Linked DNA regions of Notamacropus eugenii. The protein of the gene in region 2 interacts with the protein of the main gene of each other region in a pairwise test. Links are inferred from orthologs where the notes say so. Each region holds a gene or a part of one and is shown on either strand. Other genes may lie near its edges.

Region 1 (12,111 bases), on a different chromosome or scaffold from region 2:
CTGACATTTTCTTCACCTAAACCAGGGGTTTTTAAAATGATGATGTCAACACAAGATCTTTAGGTGATCTGCACTTCTTTTCTTGAATAAAAAGTCATTTACTTGTCATATATGGCAAAAATAAAACAGTTGAAATGGTGTCTCAACCATAAAATATCATGTTTTTCTATTAATTGGGGTCAGGTTTGTTAAGAGTTAGGAAGCAGGAATTTAAATGGAATAAGGGGACCCATGAGTCGCAAAACTTTTGAAAACTTCCATGCATAAAAAAGTTCTGCACTGTAATAGGAGGGAGGGCACAAATATTATCCATTGATTAAGTGGGGACCCTCTAGTAGACTAATATGGAAAGAAAAAAGAGAATTCAGATCCGGAGGTTGGAAGAGATGCTAAGAATTCAAAACATACTTTTAGAACCCTTAATCTGAAGGAAAGTGGTAGGTAGTTTTATAGAAAATAATCAGATGAAATAAGAGAGGAGGACCTGGATATTTTATAGCAGATTGTTGAGTTATGCTCAGTGATCATTAGAAGAGCATAGGATGACAGGGAAATACTATAGGACCAGACAAAGGCAAATATCCCAATAGTCTATAAAGGGAAGTGAGTAAAGTCTATAAATTATAGGCAAAGAAACTTGACTTCAATGCCTGCTAAAATTATATGATGTATTAGAAAAGATATGGCTAGTTAACATCTTGAAAGGAAAACAGTTATCATAAAGAACCACCATGGCTTCATTGGGCATAAATAGATCATGCCACATTAACGTTATTTCACAGTATAACTCAAAGATCAGGATATGGTTCCCCTGGATTTCAGCAAAGCATCTGATTTCAGCAAAACATATTATTCTTGTGGAGAGGTGTGGGCTAGATAATGGGCTGGTAGGTAGCTCTGGAAATGGTTGAATGATCAGAGCCAAGGAGTCATTTAAAGTTTGTCAGCTTGGAGGAAGGTCTCTAATGGTCCAAAGAATCTTCTCATGGCCTTATTTTGTTTAACTAGGTTCTTAGAGGACAATCAGTACATAGTCAAACATCTGGCCCTCAGGCCACTTGCAGCCTATGACACTCCTGAGTGTGTGTCAAAACAGATTAAAATGTAATTAGTAAATATTTAAACAAAACAAATAAAAATACAAAAAAGCATAAATATTAATATTAGCACTTTTCTAAGTCAATATGCAATCTGTACAGTTTAGCGGCCCCATTTCTATTTGAGCTTTGTCACCATTGATCTAGTCTATACTCCCTTATCCCCTCAATTTATAGATGAGGGAACTAAGACTCCAAGGGGATTGAAGTGATTTGTCCAAAGGTCACATAGGTAGCAAGAATCAGAAGTCACCTTTGATCCCAGGGCCTCCTGACTCCAGAGTCAGTATTCTTCCCATTGTACTATGCTGGCTCAGGATATAAATAGTGCGAAGAAAATTTGATTCTTCCATTGTAGTTTTCACTTGAGTCACAAATTCCAGACACCTGGACCAAAACTTTAATGCTTTGCTGGTGCCAGTGGGGGTTCATTAGGTAGAATAAAGATACAGAAGAGCTACAGATATTATATAATACATCTATTACTGTTTTTAAAAAAAACTCTCACCAAAGATTCTTCATGATTGGGAGGTCCCATTCCATGTCTCCTGAATTACTGCAGGCTACAAAGTTCAGTTCTGCTTACTTGCAGAAACAGGAGTTCCAGGTTGTGTTGCTGACCTCAGTAGGGATATTGATAGGACAAGATTTCATCTTCTTTCTACAGAGAAGCACAACTGACTAAAATAAAGTTCTGGTTATGAGATGTGCAGGAGCTTCCTCTTTTCTCTTGCCATTGATTGTAGATCGATTATCAGTTAAATGAGAGATTTCATAAAAAACACAGTGCAGCTCCACACAGAGAGTTTTATATATATACAGACACATATGTATATATATACACACACACGTATATATAAATATGTATATGCATATATGTATGTACATATGTATGTATGTATATGGATATATAACATTATCATTATATAAAACTATGTAATTGCATATATTGCCATAGCTATATATCCTATATAACTATAACTATGTGACTACCATTATATAATACATAAATATAATTATGACTATAGACCTATAATTATATACATACATTTTTTCATGGTTACTTCTTTTGGGAGGGCACAAAATTAAAAAGGCCAATAGCACAATTTTTAAATTAAAACTAAATTTCCCATTTTGAATTAATATCCTATCATGATTTTTGCCTTATTCATAGCCACCCCAGTTCATATTGCTTTCTGTTTTAAAGCCCAGCACACTTACAGCTCATGAATCAACCAGCCATTTCACTCGCTGATGTTAGGACTGTGGGAGGAAAGACTATATAAAATTGAAATAGATAAATATAAGGCTATTATAAAATTGAAATAGTTAAATATGACCATTCTTCATTTTTTCTGTGGCTAACTATCCAGTTGAACAGGGAGAAGAACTACAAACTCAAAAGGACTTGAGGTCATTTTCCTCTGAGTCAGAAAGAAATAGAGTGACTTGGCCAGGGTCATATAGAGATAGCAGTTAGAACTTCATCGTCTTTATTTCACTAGTAGATGAGAAACGTTAATGGAAGTGAAACTCATCAGTCTATTTTCCCATTTGTTAGAAACTCTGCTGGATACAATTCAAATGCATGGCTAAAAATAAGGTTTGAACACTGCTCTGTAAAGAGGTGGATGTGGGATGTGGCATCTACCCTGTCAGATTTAGTCACTGTGTCTACTTTGGCTTATTTAGTGGGACTGAGCAAGGGAAACTGGGCACATGTATTCTAGTCTCTCTTTGGGACCTGTGCTTCATTGAAATGACACAACTCCTGACTGGTTGCCAGATACAGGGATGGCATCGAAGATAACTGGTTTCAGAGTCAGGAGGAGCTATGTGTGTGGTAAGCTACAGGAGGAACCAAGAAGAAACACTTCTTTTTCAGGACTCACTCTTCCAGTTGCTGAAAGGTAGGAGAAATCATGACAATAAAAACATGTTTGCTAGGTGACCACCTTCCCCCTTTTTGTAGTCTCCCCTAATACAAGCAGGTGACCAACAAATTTGAGAAATGGATGTTTCTGTCCCTGGTGGCCAGAGATTATTTCCCCAATAGCAGTACATTCATAAGGAAAAGCACACCAAGAATGCTACCGGTAAAAGCAACTAAGAAAGCCCAAGTTTGTGCAGGAAATCTGGACTGGGCAATAGTTGCTCAAAGAGCACAGGCATGAGATGAAAATGAAATATCCATTTCTTTAGTCTCACAGTCATTTTTACCTTTTAGGAGACTCACACATATGCATGATGGGTAATACTGTTTTATATTTTTGTGATTTGTTGATGTGCCTGATGAGGTTTCTGTGTTTTAAGCTATCTCAATGATAGAAGAAATAAAATGCTTGATGTCCACATTGGGCTTTTTAGAAGGTTCCTATTACCTGCTTTTTGTGAACATGAGCAGTATACTTAAATTTGGTTTCATAGATTTCTCCATAGTTATTGTTGGGTGGGGGGCAATGAATCATAAAGACAGAGAGTTACCTCTGGATGAACTGAGACAATGTGAAATACAGAGGAAGCCCTTTGTGGGGAAAGGATTCTTCTGGTCACATTTAAATATTTTTCTTTGTGACAAGAGAGCGAGGTGAGGGGAGGAGAATTGGTTAAAATAGGTGTTAAAAGGCACTAAAACCAAATATGAGATTTCAGTATAATTATTTGAGTTTACATATCAAATTAAGTTCCGCATAGCACTTTTCTCAGTTAAATCTAAGGTGGGGGGAGTAGTACAAGTATTGTTATTCCCATTTGGTGGATGAAGAAACTGAGGCTCTGTGAGGATAAATGCTTCCCTTTCCCATGTCCAACAGCTAGAAAATGTCCAAAGCAGAATTTGAACCTAGGTCTCCTGACTCCAGGTCCAATGTACATTCCACTGTGCCATGCTGTCTTCTAAACAAAACATTGACGAATCCTGACCATTCAGATGAAGTCAATCACAGATCCTTGAGGAACACAACATTCAAGGACATCTGGTTAATAATCTGTGATTTCTTCCCTATGTGTGGGATAAAGTCATCTATATAGTTTGTACTTTTAGAGAGTTGCCTAAGGATACCTGATGAAGTGACTTACCTAAGATCATAATGTGTCAGAAGTAGAATTTGAACCCAAATTTCCAAGTCCAGCATCCTATCCACTATCCAAAACCATATTGCCTCTCTTTTCCCCACATAACCTCAGAGAATGTTAAATCTGGCCTGTTTATCACTCATTATAATTTAGTGTCAAGACTGGGTTTGAGTTGCAGAGCTTTGTGGACAAGTGACCAAGGGCAAGTCATTCAGTCTCTTTGAGTCTTGGTTTTGTAATCGGTAAAAGGGGGATGATAACCTCACAGTTGTTGTAATTTGTGAGTCTTAATGAAATACATAAATGTGAGCTGTTATAATTATTCATTATTTTATTATACTATAATAATTATCATCTTGAACTAATAACCCATTCAAGTTCTCATGGAGGTTAAAGATGACCGTGGGCTCTGCTACTGGATATGCTGGGGGTGAGAAGGAGAAATGGAGAGAGAGAGAGAGAGAGACAGAGACAGAGAGACAGAGACAGAGAGACAGAGACAGAGACAGAGAGACAGAGACAGAGACAGAGAGACAGTGAGACAGAGAGAGAGAGAGACTTCAAGAAGGAACCCAGAGATGAAGATGTGTCAAACAGGAACCAACCTTTCTGCCCCAGGGTCCACCAGGTTGGATGCTAGGTGATGAATGTATTGACCACAACAACTCCTGAAGACCATCCACTAAGTTATAAAGTGGCTCCAGCCCGCAGATGGCTGTGAGAGGTGAACTCACCCTGAGGAAATTTTAAGTATTGGGGTATATATAAGTAATTCTAATAGAACTAGAAGCAATAATAACTCTCATAAGCCATATGCTGGGAGAGGGCAGCACAGGGTAGTGGACGGTGGAGTGAAACGTGCAGGCTGGACGAGGAGTCAGCAACACCTCGGTCCACTTTCTGCCTTCTAACGCTTCCCAGCGGTGTCAGTTCCCTCGCCGGTAACATGGTGATAAACATAGTGCCTGTAGTACCTACCCCATAGTCCTGTTGTGAGTTATGAGGTGTTGTGTGTTTAACAAGAGGCTTTATAGCACTACAGAAACGTCAGTTATGATGATGGTCTCTTCTATGCTGCGTGGTGAAATCATAAATGACCTTGGAAAGCCCTCCAGGAAACCACATGTTGGGGAGGAAGGGAGGTGGCGAGGGGTTCAGTCTCGTTTTTCTTTCCCTAAAGTTGCTTTATTCCTCAATTCTGGGCCCGCAGGGGCTTCTCCCAGGGTGTGGGGACCGGGGCCGTCCCTTGCCCGGGAGGCACTGAACCCCTTTCCTGACCGTCTCCAGGGTCGGGGGGCACTGATTACCTGAGAAAGAGAGTGGAAACACACAATCAAAAATTCTCCTTCCCGGCTCCAATGGTGCGGAGAGGTGGGAGCAGGGGAGAAGCCGCTTGCTTAGGGGGCAGCCTGGTTTCCCGTGGGAATGTCAGGGCGCTTTGCCAGCAGGAGAGCGCATCCTCCGTCGGGAGAGCCGAGGGGCACTAGGGACCCTTCTCCTCCGCCTGAGAGAGGCAGGCGGGGGAGCCAGACAATGGGGGTTACCAAGGCAACAGAACGCCGCGGCCGCTGCGGCGGGCATCCTTGGTGCTGAGCGAACACCGAACGCAGCCTTGGCGGTTGCCGCGGCAACCGAACGAAGGGATGCCCCGTGCGCTGGGAGCTCGAGCTGGCAGGAGAAGGAGGAGACGGCGGGGAGCGATGGGCACGGTGCCCGCCGCAGGAGGGGATGAGGGCGCGCCCCGCTTCCCACCCTTTCCTGTTCCTTGACCGCTTCTCTGGGTGGGGTGAGGGCATGACCGGAGCACAGATCATCCTTCCCCTAGGAAAGCCTGCTCACTCTTTCCACATCCCCAGATCTGCTCCAAAAAAAGCCCCTGTGTGCGAGCAAGAAGAGGGGGACCCACGTGCATGGGGAGAGTATAGGAGCGAGCCAAGTAGGCGCGCCTGATTTGAGGGACCGCTCCCTATCCGCCCTTAGCAATCTGCATTCAATCCAGTCTTAATCGAAGCTCTAGGTTCTCCCTTCCGAGCCCAGAAAAAATAGCACCAGTTCAGACAGGTCTGGGGTACTGCCATCCCTTCACAGTGGCGTTTGCATTGTAAAGGATGACTGCTCACGTTTGTTTGGAGAACTGCTTCTCATGCACTATTTCATTTGATTTTTTAACCAGAATTTGTGAGATCAGTGGTACAAGTATTATTCCGAGTTTACAGAGGAAAGTTAAAAAGCTGCCCAAGGTCACACAGCCAGTCCTGTGGTTAAACAGCTCTTTCCATACCGCCAAAGGCCGTCTTGAGGAGGGAGTGATTTAACACAAAGGAATGTATTGCTAATGGGGGAAATTTCGGGGGAAGATGGCTAAAGAAGTCCAGGAAAGGAGTATTTTTTCCCCTCGCTCAAATCCCATTTTCATAGCAGGCACAGCCTTCACTATTCGGGAAAAGGTAGGTCTGGTCCAGAGTAACCTATGCAAGAGTAATAATTACAGCCAGTCAATAAACATTTATTAAATGATTACTGTGTGCCAAACACTGTGCTAAGTGCTGGAAATAAATATGCAAAATGGTGTCCTCCCTCAAGAGACTTACAGTCTAATGGGGAAAGACAACGCACCAGTCCTAGAAGGAATTGCTGGGTTAGTTGATGAGGTGGTCACACATCCGAAATGGACAACATCAGGTTCCTTGGCCTTGTGGTGTGTGGCTAGCTCTACAAATTGATTTGATGCTCTGCATTAACTTCTCTGGGCACTGTGTTCTTTATCTGTAAAAACGAAGAGGGTTATAATTCATCCCATTTCCAGATTTGGAGTGTTTTATACTTTTGAGTCATGTCAGCCAACTGCCCTTCAGCCTAAGTGATTAAGTAGTCCTTCAAATAAAACTTGATTCCAATGGTAGAGTTAAATGATGGGCTCTCAAGGCACCAAGCAAAGGAGAGCCCACCTCCTCGATCTTCCTCCATTCAACAAGGAAGAAATACATCTTCAACACCTTTGCAATCCCCAGGGGTCATTTGGACAATATTTAATGTTTAGGGATTATGGAAGGCAGCTATTCGGGTAGGGCTGAGTCCTCTTCTCTAATACTTATTTTTCTTTAACCTTCAACAATCCAAGTAATCAATCTGCAAGCATTAGAAGCTGTGTCAGGTTATTTAGAGATGATGCCTTTCCAGGAAAAAAGAGGGATTTAAAAAATGTCTGTACTTTTGCATTTGGAAGTATGGGGGAAGAAATTGTCTTTGTTATATGGTATACGGTTATACAAATTGTCTTTGTGATACAGTAAATGGGAAGGGGGGAGTAAGGAGTGGGATGGGGTGGTAAGAGGGTAGGTAATCATCTCAATCCCCACAGGACCAGAGTGCTGGGTCATTGACTTGAGGATGCAGGCAGCAGGGTGAAGAGTAGTTATCTGTGCCAGCTGGCACTAAAAAGATGAGTCTATTAGATACTTGGGATTGACTTTAACTTGATTTCACCTGGATAAAAAAATGTATTGGGATGGGGTAGGGTTATTCTGCTATGGATATATTTGGTCCTGGCACTAATGGTTTTTTTGTTGTTCAGTAGTTTCAATTGTATCTGACTCTTCATGACCCCATTTGGGATTTTCTTGGCAAAGATACTGCAGTGGTTTGCCACAGGCAAACTGGGTTATGTGCCTTGCCCAGGGACCCACAGTTAGTGTCTGAAACTAGATTTGAATTCAGGAAGATGAATCTCACTGACTCCAGACTTGGTACCTTACCCATTGCTCCACCTAGCTGCCCACACTAATAGCCACATAATTATATTAAAAGGGAAGTAAGGTTTCTAGGTCCCAGGTAGCTTTAGGTTTGGGAGGTCACTATTATGTGTTCCCTTAAAATGTTCATAAGAGACCTAATTGGGTCACCCTAAAGAAAATGCTGAGTTATTAATAAAGTAACCCTTCTAATAATATATGCAACCTGGGAGTAAGAAGGGAAGAAAACTGTACATACAACAGAAACATAGAAGTTTGGCTTAGTCATCATATTGCTTCATGCCTTTGGACACATCTTTGAGCTTCTTTTTCTGTGAAAGGTGGAGGGAGATCGTTATCCCTACGCTGTGACGCACTGAATATAGGCAGTTATTTACAAAGAGAAGCACATGGTCACTAATTCTGGTCTTGTTTTCTCATCGTCCTCCTTCTTAAGCTTCATGGAAGTCAATAGAAAGAATACTGGACTTGGAATGGGTCATATGGGTTTGAGTAATCTGTTCCTCAGATGAAGGCATACATGGCATACTCACCAAAACTGCAGATGAACAAAGAATAGTTAGTTAACCCACTGGATAGCAGATTTAAGATCCAAGAAGCTCTTGACAGGTTAGAGTATTAAGATTAATCTAATGAAATGAGGTAATAAGGGATAAATGAAAAATCTTATATTTGGGTATGAAAAATCAAATGACAAGATAAGGGCAGTATATAGAGATATCTAGGTCTCTATAGGTAGCAGTTCTGAAAAATATCTGGGGTTTTCGGTGGACTGCAAGTTTGAGATGAATTAGCAATGTGATGAGGGATCGTCACCCTTGGGTGGGTAGGCTTTATACATTGTGACATTGACCCATGAGTAAGATCCAACCCTACCCCGGCCCCTCCGTTTTGTGTTTGTGAGAAAGAGCCAGTATCATAGAAATACCCCAGCATGAATGAGTTGTGATGTTTTTCATATATCATTACGTTACTACTGAGGGAATCTTGTAGTCACTCAAGTTCACAACCGTGGTGTCACCCTTAACTCCTCACTCACCCCGAATGTCACAATCACTTGTCAGATCTTGTCTGGAGCATCTTTACTCATGAAGCCATCACTGTAGTTCAGGCCCTTATCACCTCTCATTTGGAATACTGCAACAGCCTCCTAACTGGCCCCCTCCCCCATTCCTCTATACCTCCCTCCAAACTTCCTGTTCTTTGGGCTAATTATACTCACATCCACGATGGATTTAATTGACTTTAGCCACACAGCAGCTCAGAACTCCCGAGCTCGTGATCCAATAGCTCCCCAGCAGCAGGGATTAGGCAGGTGGGAGCTACCATACTGGCAGATAAGTATTTTTCGTTTGATAACTCCTTCTAATGGATATAGCTAAAATAGGATGGCTTCTCCCTCAAAGAGTATTAACAGCTAAATACAACATTTCTTCCCAAACTGTGTAAGTGGTGAATAAGGACATTAAAAACTGGACAGAGATGAAAACGATGGAAACAAAGTTTATTTTCTGCATAAACTCCTGTAAATTACAAAGACAAAAATGCTAGACTATAGTGTATAACTTTTCAATATTTAACCAGGATACTTGTAATAAATACGCATAATGAAACAAAGTAAAAGACTAAAATTGTCAGGAAACCTATAAAATGTCTCAAGTTTTAGATTCTGCAGCATTTGTGTGCTGAAATATTTTGTGTGTGTGTGTTCTCTTAAGTGCTGACCCCCCAAAAAAGTCCTTTCACATTTCTTTGGAGCTTTTTCAAAATTATCAAATTACAGTTAATTAAACAACTGAAGTAACACCAAGACCTATATTATTTGACAGGAAGTTTTAAAGCCATTTTGCTTTGCCAGTGTTTAGAGAGCATGTGCTCTAGACAGCACTGAATTCAGGAAGCCTTGAGCCACACTGTCCATTCAGTCAAAGCAGACACAGCTTCTGGGTGAAACACCTCAAAGATTTTTTTTTAAATATTTGTATACCTCAGTAAGAACAAGGCCATAAGTGAAGCTACAAGCAATTTAGACAAGTTTTAACTTCTAAGTATGGCACAGGAATAGAAAAGTATTTCTTCCTTAGATATTTGCTATGCATTATGAGGGCTGGACCATATCAGGGTTTTACCAATTTTCAATGACTGGTATTAGCCATGCTCCCAATGTTTGGAAAAGTAAACACAGTTATGATGTCCTGACACTTAGCCAAAAGAGCAAGGCGGATGTTCATCAGGAATGCTTGACAGCTCCAAGAGCACAAACAGATGGCCAAACCTCCTTCCTAGTATCTGCTGGGACTTTGTGATGAGCTGAGAGTATTTCTAGTACATTTTGCTACAGCTGAAAACTTTTACCCAAAGACATTTTAAGTCTAAATCATGGTTATCTAAAATATTGTGTTAACATAGTGTAATGCAAATTTTATGTAGTAAATGGCTTAGGTACCAAAAATCTGTAATGGCCAATAAAAATATAATGGAGAAAAAACATCTTTACAAAAGTGAGGTTAGGAACTACGAGGCATTTCTTTTAGTTGTAAACGAACTGTTTACTGTAACCCCTTGTTGAAAAACATGGACTTGGATTTCCTGAGCTTTATGGACAACACTAGTAGTAGGCAAGCTTGCATAGGTTGTTTGCAATGTGTCATTTAAAGGTTTTTTGTTTTCTGAAATCTTTAAAATCAACTCATTTATGTTTTTAACCTATATATTTTAGTTAATCCTATTCATCCAATTGCTGGACTGAACAGCACAGCTCTAAGAGATGAAAGGTAGGAGAAGGGAAAAAAAAATGGTTGGGAACTAAGTATGTACTCCATCCAGAGGACATGATGAGGGGGTTTTGTAGTGTACCTTGTAACCAGTGCCAGGGTTAATTTGGTTAGCAATTAAATCATGTTAAAGGTTAATGTCAGCCTAAAATCTTGAGTGCTTCTAACTAAAAGTAGGGGTGGAGGGCAGCCATGGGAAAAGGAGTTGCAACAGCATTCACCACAAGATTTGCAACAGCTGGGATTGACTAACACCAAGACCTGTGGGGGTTTGCAGGTCACCACCATCCAACGGACCATCTCAGTGGAGTCCCTTAGTCGCACAGACCCAAACCAGGTGTGTCATCAGCTAGCACCAAGATCTGGACTTAACAACCTCAGCTCATCACAAGGCTAGTACTTTAGGTCTTAAAGTCAACAGACGATTCTGAAGAATGGAAGGTCTTCCCTTGGGGACAGTCCTCAGAAGTCCTTGTGTAGGGAAGAAGCTTGAGAGGGCAGCTATGTGAACTCACAGTGCATACAAACAGATGAGAAAAATGGCAGTGGCTGCCAACCTTAACTCCTGCTTTAAGGCAAATATGGCAAATGTGAGGGGTTGGCACTGAGTCCCAGAGTCTCTCACTTCTTTTGTGATTGGTTTTTACACATGGTGAGGATTTGCTTCAGTACTTTCTGGACATCTTCATCCATCTGGCCCTAGGAAATTCAGATAAAAATACAATCAATATAACAGAGAACACATTTGAACAAATATAGACCATAACATCCCCATTACTTGTGGTGAACCATCTGACAATCATGAAGCCCTTTACCCAGAAACTCTTCTATCCCCTCAGTAGGGAAAGGGTCAGCCCTACTGTACAGGTCTGGATATTTCACTTCCAGAGGAAATTACAACAGAGGTCAAGTGACTTTTCTCTCAGGTATTCAGTGACCTAAGGCTGCCACTGGCCAATGTTATCAAATCTAATTAGTTACCACATTGAAGTCTTAGCCCCAGGCAAGTAAGTCATTACTCCAAATGAGGACAACAAGGATAGGATTCAGTGGAAAAACTCATCACCACCAATGGAAACACTAAAAAACCACATGTTCTGTGGAATATACATCAACAGTACCATCTGACTATACAAAGGAGAGCAAATTATTAAAATACTTCCAGGGAATTCTGCCTCTCAATTTCCCACTTAGTCTTTGAAGAAAGGAGCTGAGAGGGAAGGACACAATTTCTTCCAGTAGACAAAAGTCAATTAAAAAAAAACCCTTTAATATTTTAAATTAAAGAAGCCCCTGCTTTTTGCCCTCCTATGTCAGTGCTCGTATCTGTTGTTGGTGTTTTTTGTTAAGTCTGCTTCTTTGGATGACTTAGCTAATGGGACAACTTTAAAAAAATTTTTTTTGGTTAAGAGA
Region 2 (12,140 bases):
TCTTCTAACACCAGCAATGGTACCTCTCACTGGTGTGGCAACTGCTACAGATAACTTTAATTCCAGTAAAGTGACAACTTGTATTACTGTTCCTAAATTAAGATATCAGTAGATCATTTTACTTAGGTTCTTATGTTTTCTAATAAATTTTGCATCTTCACAACATGGTGGGTCTAAGAACACTATTCTTTCTTTCCGCTTGGCTCTTCAGGCAGGCCCAGATCTGCCCTGATGATATAATTTTTCTTCAGTCATTTTTCGATCATGTCCTATGTTTTGTGACCTCATTTGGGGTCTTCTTGGCAATAATACTGGAATAGCTTGCCACTTCCTTCAACAACTTATTTTGCAGATGAAGAAACTGAAGCAGACAGGGTTAAGTGACTTGCCCATGGTCATACAGCTAGTATCTCAGGCCAGATTTGAACTCAGGAAAATGAGTCTTCCTGATTCCCTACCCTGACACTCTATCTACCGAATCACTAAGCTGCAATATTAGCTCCAAACAGATACATGCTCTAAATATAAAAAGACTTATAGGATTATAAATTTAGAGCTGAAAAGGGATCTTTGAGGTCATCTAAGAGCAGCCAGATAGTACAGTAGATAGCCAGCTGGACTTGGGAGTTAGAAAGACCTGAGTTCAAATTCTGACTCAGACATTTACTAGCTATGATCCTAGATAAATCACTTAACCTGTGTCTACTTCAATTTCCTCATCTGCACAATGGAGATAATAAATAGCCACTACTTTCAAGGGTTGTTGTGAGGGATAAGTGAGGATAATATTTGTTAAAGTTCTTTGTAAACTTTAGTCATATACAAGTGGCAAGGTATTGTTATTATTAGTCAAGCTTATTTTAAATGTAACACTAGATATTTCTAGTCTCTTCCAAATCCCTCCATCCCTTCAAGCAAAAAAGTGGGGGTAGGGTGTGGGAGTAGGAAGCAAAATTTAGAGTCTTGAACCAGTGTTCACACCATCAGCAATCCAACAGGGAATCTCTGATGAGCTCTGAGTTCAAGTTTAAAGATTCTCCTTGAGAGAGTTATCAGATCATGATGAAACTAAACTGTTAACTCAGTAGCTCAAAGCAAGATGTTTTAACTTCCCATGCCAGAAATACAGGATCCCTAGCATAGATAATCTATGAAATACAAAACAAAAAACCCTTAGGGTTACCCTGTACACACTAGGATCTCAAGTAACCACATGTCTGAAAAAAAGAAAGGTACAAATTCTTTTATAAAACAATCAGACTTACACAGGCAAGCAAGGATACCCTGCTCAGTTAGGAATGACTGAAGAATGCTTTAGATGAAGAATGATTTCTACCTCTCAGCAGAAAGGCACTACGCCAGAGATCTGGAATGAAGGTTGATGCCTATGTGCTGATATGCTTTGACTGACTTTACTTATTAGAAGGAAGAGGGTAGAATCAGTAGGAAATGATAGTGATTTTTTTTTTAAATCATCACATGATTTTTTTTTTTCTGGAAACTGCAAATATTGAAGCAAGGAGATGGAATCAAGACAAGAAAAGCAGCCAAAACCTTCCAGTGTGTAAATCAGATGTTCACACTGAGCAAAGTGATATATTGTCCTTGAGATGAACAGGCAGAGTTTCAGTTTTAAACAGTGGCCATGATTGCTAACACTATACATGTTCAGTGAGGAAAACACGTATCTTTAGCTAGTCTGTCATACTTATACAATTTGGTAACAAGATGATTAGTCATAACATTTCTTAACTGAGAGACAATGATACCGTTACACAAACTTATTTCCCACTGAAAGCATTAATCATTAATTTATTCATGTTAATGACTCAGGAAAGTAATCTGAAACAATGAAGCTTTTGTGATACTCAATCTACCTGGACTTTGGGCCAAATAGAAGTTGTTTTCCCTATGAAAAATACGCTTCTTTCTTTCCCAGGCAATGATTCTTTCACTAGAAGTCTTCTATAGTAACATGTCCATTCTCTTTTGACAGAAAGCACATCTTTGAATCTAATGAATACTTTCATTCTTTCCCATAAGTGACCAATTCTGTTCAGATTTTCAGATGTGTTTAAAGGCTTTAATATCTACAAAGTGCTTTCATAACTTCAGATGAAAGCTCTTTTAGAAATACAAAATATATTTTACTTATCTTAATCCCATCCTAGATATCCAAATGTTGTTTCTGAATTCAGTGTTAAATAAGATACTTACACTTCCTGCCCACAAATCTTCTCTTTCTCCTGAAAGTTTGGCGTAAACAGATATCTCTTCTCCCGTTTTGAAGCTCAAGTATTGGCAGTCAGATCCTTCATAATCTCTTATGGCCACGGCTCTGCTTATTAAAGCTATGTAAATATTTAAAGAAAATACACATTTTAAACACTAATATTTAAAAATGTTCTATCTCTAGTCTCTTCTCCCTTCAAACCATCCTTCATATCACAAGTCAGATTAATTTTCTTCCTTTTTGTCTTTCATTTTTCTTTTCTGGAATCAATTGGAGTTAAGTGACTTGCCCAGCATCACACAGTTTGTAAGTTTCTGGGGCCAGATTTGAACTGATATCCCATCCTATCTCTAGGGCAGGTGTCCTATCTACTGCACTACCTAACTGCTCCCAAATTCATTTTCAAAATACCAATTTCATCAAACAATTCCCCTATTTAAAAATCTCCAATGGTTCCCTACTGCATATCCAACTTTTTCCTCTCATGTCTATCCAATAATCTTTTTAATGTCCTCTGAACACACCATGTGCATTACTAGTTCGTGTAACTGCGATATTCTCCCTGCCTGTGCCAAGACTTCAAAAGTTAGATGATAAAAACTGTTTTTCATCTCCTGATAGAAGATTGGTTGGTAGACCCAAGGTATAGGATAAGGATGTGGATATGGTGATTTTAATGATTTATTTTGCTTGATGGTGCTTAGTTTTTACAAAGATTATGTTTTTCCAATTTTTATTTGTAGGGAAAGGAGACAGGAGTTGCAAAAAAAGAAAGAGAAGAAACAAAAGAGGTCATTGAACCATCTTAAAAAATGCTCAGACAGAAATATAAAAAAGTTTAGAGGGAAATAGACAAAACAGCTTTGAAAGAAACATGCTGAATTTATCATATAACTTTTTAAAAAATATTCTGTATAAAATTTGTTACATAATTTCAGTTATAATTAATTTTTGCATTTTACTTTCTATGTGTAAGGTGTTGGGGTTCTTTTTGGTGTTTGGTAAATTCAGAATAATAAAATTAAGTAGTGTTTGTATAATGGAAAAAGTTCTGGATTTGGATTTAAACAGCTGGAGTTAAAATACAATCTCTACTAAATTTTTGGCCTTCAGCAAGTCACTTAATCCCATTTGCATCTCAAGTTCCATATCTATAAAATGAGAGGATTGGACTGATCTGTATGGTCCCTTCTGGCTCAAAATCTGAACATCCATCATGATATGGAAAGATTTAGAGTCAGAAGAACCCATTTAGAAAATCTAGCTGTATGAAGTTGAGCAAATTTCTCCTTTTGTGGGAAATTTCCTCACTCTTAAAATGAAGGAGTTTGACTAGATAAATTTCAAGGGGTTTCCAATAATTCTGACAAATCCTACTAAAAGTCCTTTGGGGTTCAGCTAAGTCCTTGCTCAGCTACTCTACTACAAATCAATTGTTCTCTATATTTATGATCTTAATGTTTCATTACTCATATTGTAGTATCAATTATTTAATAGGTGTTAGGTCTTGCTCTCTAATCTATATAAGTAAGTTGAAGGCAAGAAATGTGTTTTACATTTCTTTCCTATTCCCCTCAGCTCACAAGAGAACTTAAAATAAAATCTGTTGAATGAGTAATTTACCAAATGCCTAAGATTAATTCCTTTAATACAAACATAATGTATGGTATGTGTATATATTGTAATCATTAAAATAATTTCATACTTAGAGTAGTGATGTTCCTCAGTGAAAAACTGATTTAATAAGACCACTAATTAAATTTAAATATCACATAAAGTTACACAAATTGGAATGTCTTCTTTATTGTTGATCAAAATCAGAGGTTTCAAACACAAGGCCCGTGGGCTACTCCCAAATTTGGCCCAAACTAGATTAAAATGGAATTGGGAAATACTTAAGAAAATAAAGAAAAATTTGATAGAATGAATAAGTGGGAAAAATTCAATAGAATTAACATGTGGTCGATATGCAGCCAGAGGATTCTTACATATAATTTAGTGGTCCTGTTTATATTTGAATTTGATATCTATCACTGGTCTGAACTATGACTCTATAGATATGAAAATGTGAGAAAAATAGAGATTTGAGACAGGAAATTAATTACAAATGAGCAGTTGACTGATAAATCTTGTTCCTCACTTTAGTTTACTTTTCAGAAAAAGGATTCAGAAAAGTACTTTTTCAAAAGTTTAGAAATAAAGGTTACATAAAAGACAGACGATAATTACTTATTTGAAGCCATTCTAATCTATTAGGCTACAATTATACCACATAATATTAGGAGACCTGGGTTCAAGAGAACACTTCAGATTATGTTGATCATGGGCAGTTTATTTCATCACTCAGAATATTAGGTCCCAGGTCTGTAAAATGGGGAAAGTAACAACTATTACACCTCAAAGAGCTGTGAGCATGGAACAATAAATGTAAATAGAGTATTTTGCAAATTGTAGGGCATGATACTGTCAGCTTAAAAGTAGATGCAATAACCAAAATATTTTGTGTAGTAGATTTAAAAAGAAAATCTAACTTGCATTGCTCATATACATAAACAAAATCATGAGAGAAGTCTTTGATATTGGCTAAAGGTTTGCATAAGGAATACATGAAAAATTAATCATGAATCCCTGAGGGTCTGGGATGCTAAAATTTGTACATACACACACACACACACACACACACACACACACACACACACACCAGTATAAGTCATGGTGGCTTAAATATATTTTTTAAATTGTTGGAGAAATAATGATACTCAGAACATAGTTGAAAAATTAAAATAAAATTTTTGTTATATAAATCAGCAAGAATGTCTTTATGTACTCCAGTAAACAAAATGAATAAGTGGGAAAATAAAATGGTAAATAAACAAGTACATTTTAAAATGCTAACAAATTTGATTGTGATAACTGGTAAGACCTCTGTGTCATCTGAATTTATACCAAACTTTGACCCTTTGACCATTTCTGTGAGGTAATGCCACAGAACACTTCTTTTCTAATATTTTTCACAGGCAATCTACAAAGCTAATCTTTACAACTTCATTTTTTTCCCAATGGTATACCAATATTTATACCAAATATTTCCATTTTAATATTTATGCGATGTACTTACGTTGCTATTTTCCATATACTTACTTTCACATTCCACATCTCCGCAGTTTTTAAACTCTGCCAGCAGTTTTGTACTCTCCGAGCTCTTTATCAAGGAAATTACTAGAAGAAAAATTCTGTAGACTCCAAACTGTCCCATGACAAAAACAGAAAGTAGGAATTCAAAAAACAGTCAAAATGTACCATTCACACGAGAATACTGCCTCCTAAACAAGAGAGGCATTTTTTTCACTTGCTATAACAAAAAGGTTTTAAAAGCCTTTGGCAGATATATTTCCTTTCTGTTTGCCAGTTGAGCTTACTGGATAAATGCTCTCTTTCTCAATCTGCATTGACAGCTATTTATATAACACACTAGTATTTAATTATTAACAGATTTGTTTACTTTGACTAATATTTTTATAAAGGCAGCCCATATAAATCTACCTCATTTAAAGTTACACTGCTTTCAGCATGGATTTCTTGGAATGCATAGCAACACAACCTCTTCCTGTTAGTCTTCAGAAAAGTCAATCAATGAATATTAATTGATTACTTACATGTGTATAATGCTGCTTTCAGTTGTAGGCTGGATGTATAGAGTCAGTAATAACTTGTCTAAAGAAAATGATCCATTTTTCTGACTATCATGGGGAAAGCTGTTAAAAATATAATTATAAGAAGTAATTTTTAAATTATATTGGAAGGTATATTTATTCCTACTTAATCTAAACAAAAAAACCACTCAGACTTTAATTTCATACAATAGTAGCTAAAACATGGCAAGTAAAAAGTTTGAAAAACATTCAATCTGTGGGACTAAATAGAAGTAAAGTGTCATGTTTCAATATCTGGGAAATGTTTTAAAAGGATCTCTTTTCTTGCAAGATTTCAATACATTTGCTTAGGTTCTAACATACGAAATCAGTTTGTGGGATATCTCCATTAGTGTCTGAGAGAAGAATCTCATAAAGTCACAGTTCCCTCTAGTGTCTAAAGCAGAACAAAACACCACCACAAAAATGACAAATACAGAATTACAAAAGTTAGATAAGTTTTGTTTGGGGTTAAAAAGTTTTCATGCCAAAGTTATCTTATTACATATACAATCTCCAGTGCCATCAAAGGACCAATTCCTGACAAAGAGAAATAAATAACCCCAAACACCATCTACAAGTCCTTCCACCCTTGCTAAGCAAGGAGCCTGTAGGTTAAGTCAGAAGCTTTTCAGGATATGCAGTAAACAAAAAAGGACCTATGTCTTAAACAGGCAACCTGCGTTTCTCCCCACAATGAAAAGGTAAACAGCTTGATTGTGAATTCTCAGAACTGTAGTCCTGGAAAGAAAAAATTCTATTTTCCAAACTTGGGAAAGACCATTACAGGCTCTGAGCTGGGGCTAGCAGGGCTGCCATTTCAGGGGCTTTTTGACTGATTTGCAACAGAAAGAAGAGTGGCATGGAAATGAAAGAGGGAAATTAGACTCTTTGCACTGTGGGTTTGACATTAGTAGCAGCTCCTGAGGAAACAACTGTTGGTAGCTAACTTACAGAGTGGATTTGGATCCCTGGACTTGGAGTTAGGAAGACTTGATCTCAAATTCAGCCTCGGATACTAGCTGAACGACACTGGGCAAGTCATTAAACCTCTCTGAGCCCCAGTTTCTCCATCTGTAAAAGGGGATAAAAATAGCACCTACCTCACAGTTCTGGAAAGATCAAACAAATGGTATCATTAAGGCACTTTGCAAACCTTAGAACTCTATATAAATGCTAGCCTTTTCATTATTTTTACTATTACATACCAGGAAACTAAGCAGTAGAGTGGATAGAGAGCTGGGCCTAGAGTGAGAACAGACCTGAGTTCAAATAGTCTCAGACACTTCTTAGCTGTGTGACCCTGAGCAAGTCACATAATTTGATTTTCTTGACTGTGAAATGAGGATAATGATAGCACCTACTTCCCAGGTAATATTTGGTGAATATTTGGTGAGGTAATATTTGTGAAGTGCTTAACCCACTACCTGGCACACAGTAGATGCTAAATAAATGTTTATTGGTTGATGGTTCTTTAAGTGTAAATATAACTCCTGATTTAATTAGAATCTTTGAAGACATCTTGTCCTTTACATAAAACTATTATCAATCATAGCCATTTTGTGACACATAACAGGGGGAAGGAGAGGGAAGGAGAGGGAAATGGAGGAAGCCAGTGTCTAGTGTGGCATATACAGGAAAAGAAAATAAGTCAAGGGATTAAAACCCTCTCCAGATTCCCAGGATTTAATCTTGACCTGGTTGATTGAAAGACAATCCTATGGTTTTGGTTATTAATCACTTTAAGTGTCTAAATGATAGAGAAAGATTATTCAAGTCATTTCAGGCCTAGTGTGTGGTTTAAAACTCATGTGTCTCTGGGGAAAACTCCAGTTTTCCATGGAATAGCAGTGTGGACTACTTAAAGATATCCCTGTGGGAAAAGAAAGGCTAAATCGTGTTTCACAGTGAAACCAACAGGTTCTAAGTAGGAACTAGTCTGGAATAACTTATTTTCCACTTGGAATTTTAGATAATATTGATAATAATAATAATGGTTAATATTTATGCAACACTTTAAGATTTGCAAAGCACTTTACAAATTGTTGACAAGTGAAACCAGTTTGGCTAGTATGACCAAATACCCCTAAAATGCAAGTATGCAAAAGCTAATAAACCTAGAACCTGGGCATTATTGCAAAGTGTTACTGCATCCTGGTTACATATCCTTGTTGTTAGAGCAAAGTAAACCTTCTTTGGTTAGCTATTCAGTGATTGTGAGTGTCTCATTTTGTCCCAATATCTAACATGAAATATTTATTAACAAAAAAATATTTATTTTGGCTCTTTTTATAGCTTCCCTAAACTGGACATTGAGGTCTACCATTACGGAATGGATAAATAAATTATGGTATGTGAATTTAATGGAATGTTATTGTATTATTCCAAGTGACAAAATGTACAGTTTTAGAGGAAAACAGAAGACCACTATGAACAGATGTAAAGTGAACAGAACTAGGACAGTTTACATAATAATGACATTATAAAAAAAACAACATTAAATGACTTTAGAATTCTGATCATTGCAATGATAAACCAACATGCCAGAGAATTACAGATGAAGCACACTCCTACCAGAGAAGTAATGGACATAAAATGTGGAATGAAATACACACTTTTTAAACATGACCAGTGTGGGAATTTGTTTTGCTGGACCATGCATATTTATATGAGGGTTTTATTTCTGAAGTCTGCCTCTTCATCACTTCTTATTTTTATTGTTCCTTGGGGGAAGACAGGGGAATGGGAGAGATATGCAATAAATATCTAAAATAAATATACAAACCAGAACTTAAGGAGGACAGTACCAGGACTAGCCATATGATTTTTAAGTGTAATAAAGGAATATTAACAAATATCAAAAAGGTAAAAATAGTCTAAGCATGAGGTAATGAGGGCTTGCACTAGAATGGTGGAAGTTTCAGAGGAGAGAAGGGGGCATATAGGAGAGATGTTACAGAGGTGAAATAGGTAGGCCTTGGCAGAATCTTAGATATGGGGGTTGAGGATAGGTTGGGAGCCCAAGGGACTGGGAAGATGCTGTTACCCTCTACAGGGTAACAAGTGGAGTATTTAGGGGTAAAGAGAATTAGTTCTGTTTGGGGCATAGTTAGTTTAATATGTCTACTGAACATCCAGTTTGAGATGTCTGAAAGAAATTGAGATGTGAGATTGAAGGTCAGCAGAGGTGTTGGGGCAGGAAAGGTAGATCTGAGAATAATTAGCACAGAGATGGTAATTAAATCTATGATCATTGGTGAGATCACCAAGTGAAGTAGTGTAGGGAGAGAAAAGAAGAGGGCACAGGGCAGGCCCTAAGGAACAGGGTTGTGTTCTGGATGGTGTGTGGTCTGGAAGAGGATCCAACAAAGGAGACTGAGAAGAGGTCAAATAGGAAGGAGAAAAACCAGGAGAGAGCAGTGTCCTGGAAACCTAGAAAAAAAGAGAACATCAAGGAAGAAAGGACAAATCAGCACTTACTATGTGCTAGGCACTGTGCTAAGTAGCACTTAACTTTTTGTATTGTTCTGTATGACCTTAGGTACTTAATCTCTCAGTTTTGAGGTTCTTTCACTGGAGTTTAGCTGTCCTAGTTGGTAAATCAGTAGACCTCCTGGTCCCAGACCATGTTTCCAGCCATATACCTCAGCAATCTTGCCATCCAGCACTGTCAACATTAATCACAGGTTCATATTCGTTTCCTTACCTCCCTCCTCTTTCTCCCTACTAATTGATATGGGAACTATGAATATAAGAGGAAATACAAAAGTCCCTTCCCTCAGAGCTTTTATTCTATTAATCAACCAATCAAAAGACATTTTTTAAAGTACTTACTATTTGCAAAGCATTGTGCTAGTGCTGAGAATAGATACAAGACAAAAAGCAAAAACAGTCCCTGCTCTCAAGGAGCTTACATGGAGTACGTAACATATTAAATAGGTATGTACAAGATACAATGTAGATGGAAAAATAACCTCCAAAGGGAAAGTTGGAAGAACTGGGAAAAGCTTCCTGAAAAAGCTGTATAGTTTGAGCTGAATTTCCCAGGCAGTCAGAGATTCTGAGAGTTGAAGTATGGGAGGGAGAGCATGCCAAGCAGGGGAGACAACCACTGCAAAGGCTCAGACAGGAGATGGAGTGTTGTGTGAGGATGTAGCCTACTAAGGCTAGAAGAAGTGGAAGGGAGTATAAGACTGGAAATGTGAAGAGCTTTAAGTGTGTGTGCCTGGGTTGGTGACATGACCTGACTTACATTTTTACATAAAAGTCATTTTAGTAGTTGTGTGGAGGGACTTGAAGTAGAAAATTCAGTTACATCATTTCAATAGTCAAGGTGACAGGTGGTGAGGACCTGAAGTAGGGTGGTTGCTGTGTGAATCAGGAGAATCTCTAGTATCTGAGAAATGGAAAGAAATAATAAATTGCTTCTGAAAAGGGCATATGAACTGACTCTCTTACAGTTCCACTTCATCAACCCTATAGTTTCCCCAAACAAAATACTTTTCCCTAGCTACCACTCCTCTATATCCACCTGTATATTAGCTCATTCCCTACTACCTACCAGATAATACCAGATACTTCCAACCACACTAAAGATCATCCTGTATTTCTTCTACCCTTTGCAGATAAACTCCTTGAGAAGACCATCCACAATAGGTGCCTTCACTTTCTCTTCTCTTACTCTTGCTTCAGGGATGGGAAACCTGTGGCCTTGAGGTCACATGTGGCCCTCTAGGTCCTCAAGTGCAGTCCCTTGACTGAATCCAAACTTCATAGAACAAATCCCTTTAATAAAAGGACTTGTTCTGTAAAACTTGGACTCAGTCAAAAGGCTAAACCTGAGGACCTAGAAAGTTTAAGGTCACAGGTTCCCTACTTTTGTTACAACCTGGCTTCTGACCTTTTTATTCCACCAAAACTGTTCTCTGCAAAGTTACCAGTGATCTCTTAGTTGTCAGATCCAATGAGTTTTTCTCAAGCCTCATTCTCCTCAACCTCCCTGCAGCCTTTGGCTCTGAGAGCAGGGACTATTCCATTTCCTCTTGTATTTATAGGTAGCTAGCTACCTATCACAGTTCTCATATCAATTAGCATGGTGAAAGAGGGGGGAAGTAAGGAAATTGACATGAAGCTGGGATTAACATGGCAGGGCTAGATGGCAAGATTTTTGGGGTGTATGACTGGAAGCATGGTCGGGGATCAGGAGGTCCACTGATTCACCAACTAGGACAACTAAACTCCAGTGAGAGAGCACCAAAAGTGAGAGATTAAGTACCTAAGGTCATACAGAACAATACAAAAAGTTATTGAGGACTGATAAGGTACTTGGGTGCATGTGCTTGGACCCCAATTCTAAAAAATCACATTTCTCCCTAGCCTCAAAACACTATCCCAGGCAGTTTCTCCCCAGCCCATGGACACAGCTTGCCTCAGCAACAACTGTTATCTCCCTTCCTGATATAGTAGCCAGTTGTACCTATAGAATTTATTAATATGAACCATCTGTGTACTGGTTGAACTGGCTGTGTACTGGGTCATAACAACAGTTACTACTCACTGACCAATCATATGTGTCCCAGACTTAGACATATGCATACTCCCTTACATTTATCTTATCTAATAAGACATTGATGAGAGCAGCCTGGTATTCCTGAGTCAGTCCTGACCATTAGCTGACTCAGGGATGTTTCAGGCCTAAAACCACACCTCCATGTAGCCCCACCTTGGTCTATTTCCTGATGAACTCTGGATAAAATGCCTGCTCAGTAGATACTAAAAGCACATGTTCCTTTAAGAACCAACTATTTAAGAACTAACCATTCCTTAATCCTGCCCTGAATCACCTAGTTAGCCTATTTGGCACGTTTTACTATAGAATATTCTATATAAACTTTACTTGTACCCCTCTGAGGTTGCAGGTTCCCTAAGAACTCTTACCCTGCTGAAAAGCATAATAAATCTTTATCTTGACCTCAAGAATGCTTGAGTCCAGGAACTCATTCCAGGCGACCCTCCCCTGGTACTCCAGTCTTTGAGGGGCAGGGGAGGAGCATGGGGGTTCTCCTCCTCCTCCCCCCCCCTCCAGCCCTTAACAACTACTACTTAGCACAGTGTCTAGCACATATTAAGTGCTTAATAAATGTTTATTGGGTGTTGATTGCCAGGCATTGTACTAAGCACCAAGGATATAAATGAGAAAAGGAGACAGTCCCTAC

What was found.
Region 1: the proteins of MIA2 (region 2) and TTC23L interact in binary tests that used the Homo sapiens proteins (3 or more experiments, as listed by UniProt). The two-hybrid records come from large-scale screens. The link is inferred for Notamacropus eugenii from reciprocal best matches to the Homo sapiens genes MIA2 and TTC23L.

What each region holds. Positions count from the first base shown.
Region 1 is NC_092875.1:426,593,403-426,605,513, forward strand, and holds the start of TTC23L (tetratricopeptide repeat protein 23-like), read right to left. Parts: upstream 5,708-12,111; 5' UTR 5,480-5,707; intron 4,908-5,479; exon of another isoform or gene 4,778-4,907; intron 1,759-4,777; 5' UTR 1,641-1,758; coding exon 1,606-1,640; intron 1-1,605. Other genes in the region: RAI14 (ankycorbin), read right to left, coding at 11,320-11,397.
Region 2 is NC_092872.1:331,982,652-331,994,791, reverse strand, and holds the start of MIA2 (melanoma inhibitory activity protein 2), read right to left. Parts: upstream 5,674-12,140; 5' UTR 5,490-5,673; coding exon 5,375-5,489; intron 2,352-5,374; coding exon 2,218-2,351; intron 1-2,217. UniProt on the Homo sapiens protein: Plays a role in the transport of cargos that are too large to fit into COPII-coated vesicles and require specific mechanisms to be incorporated into membrane-bound carriers and exported from the endoplasmic reticulum.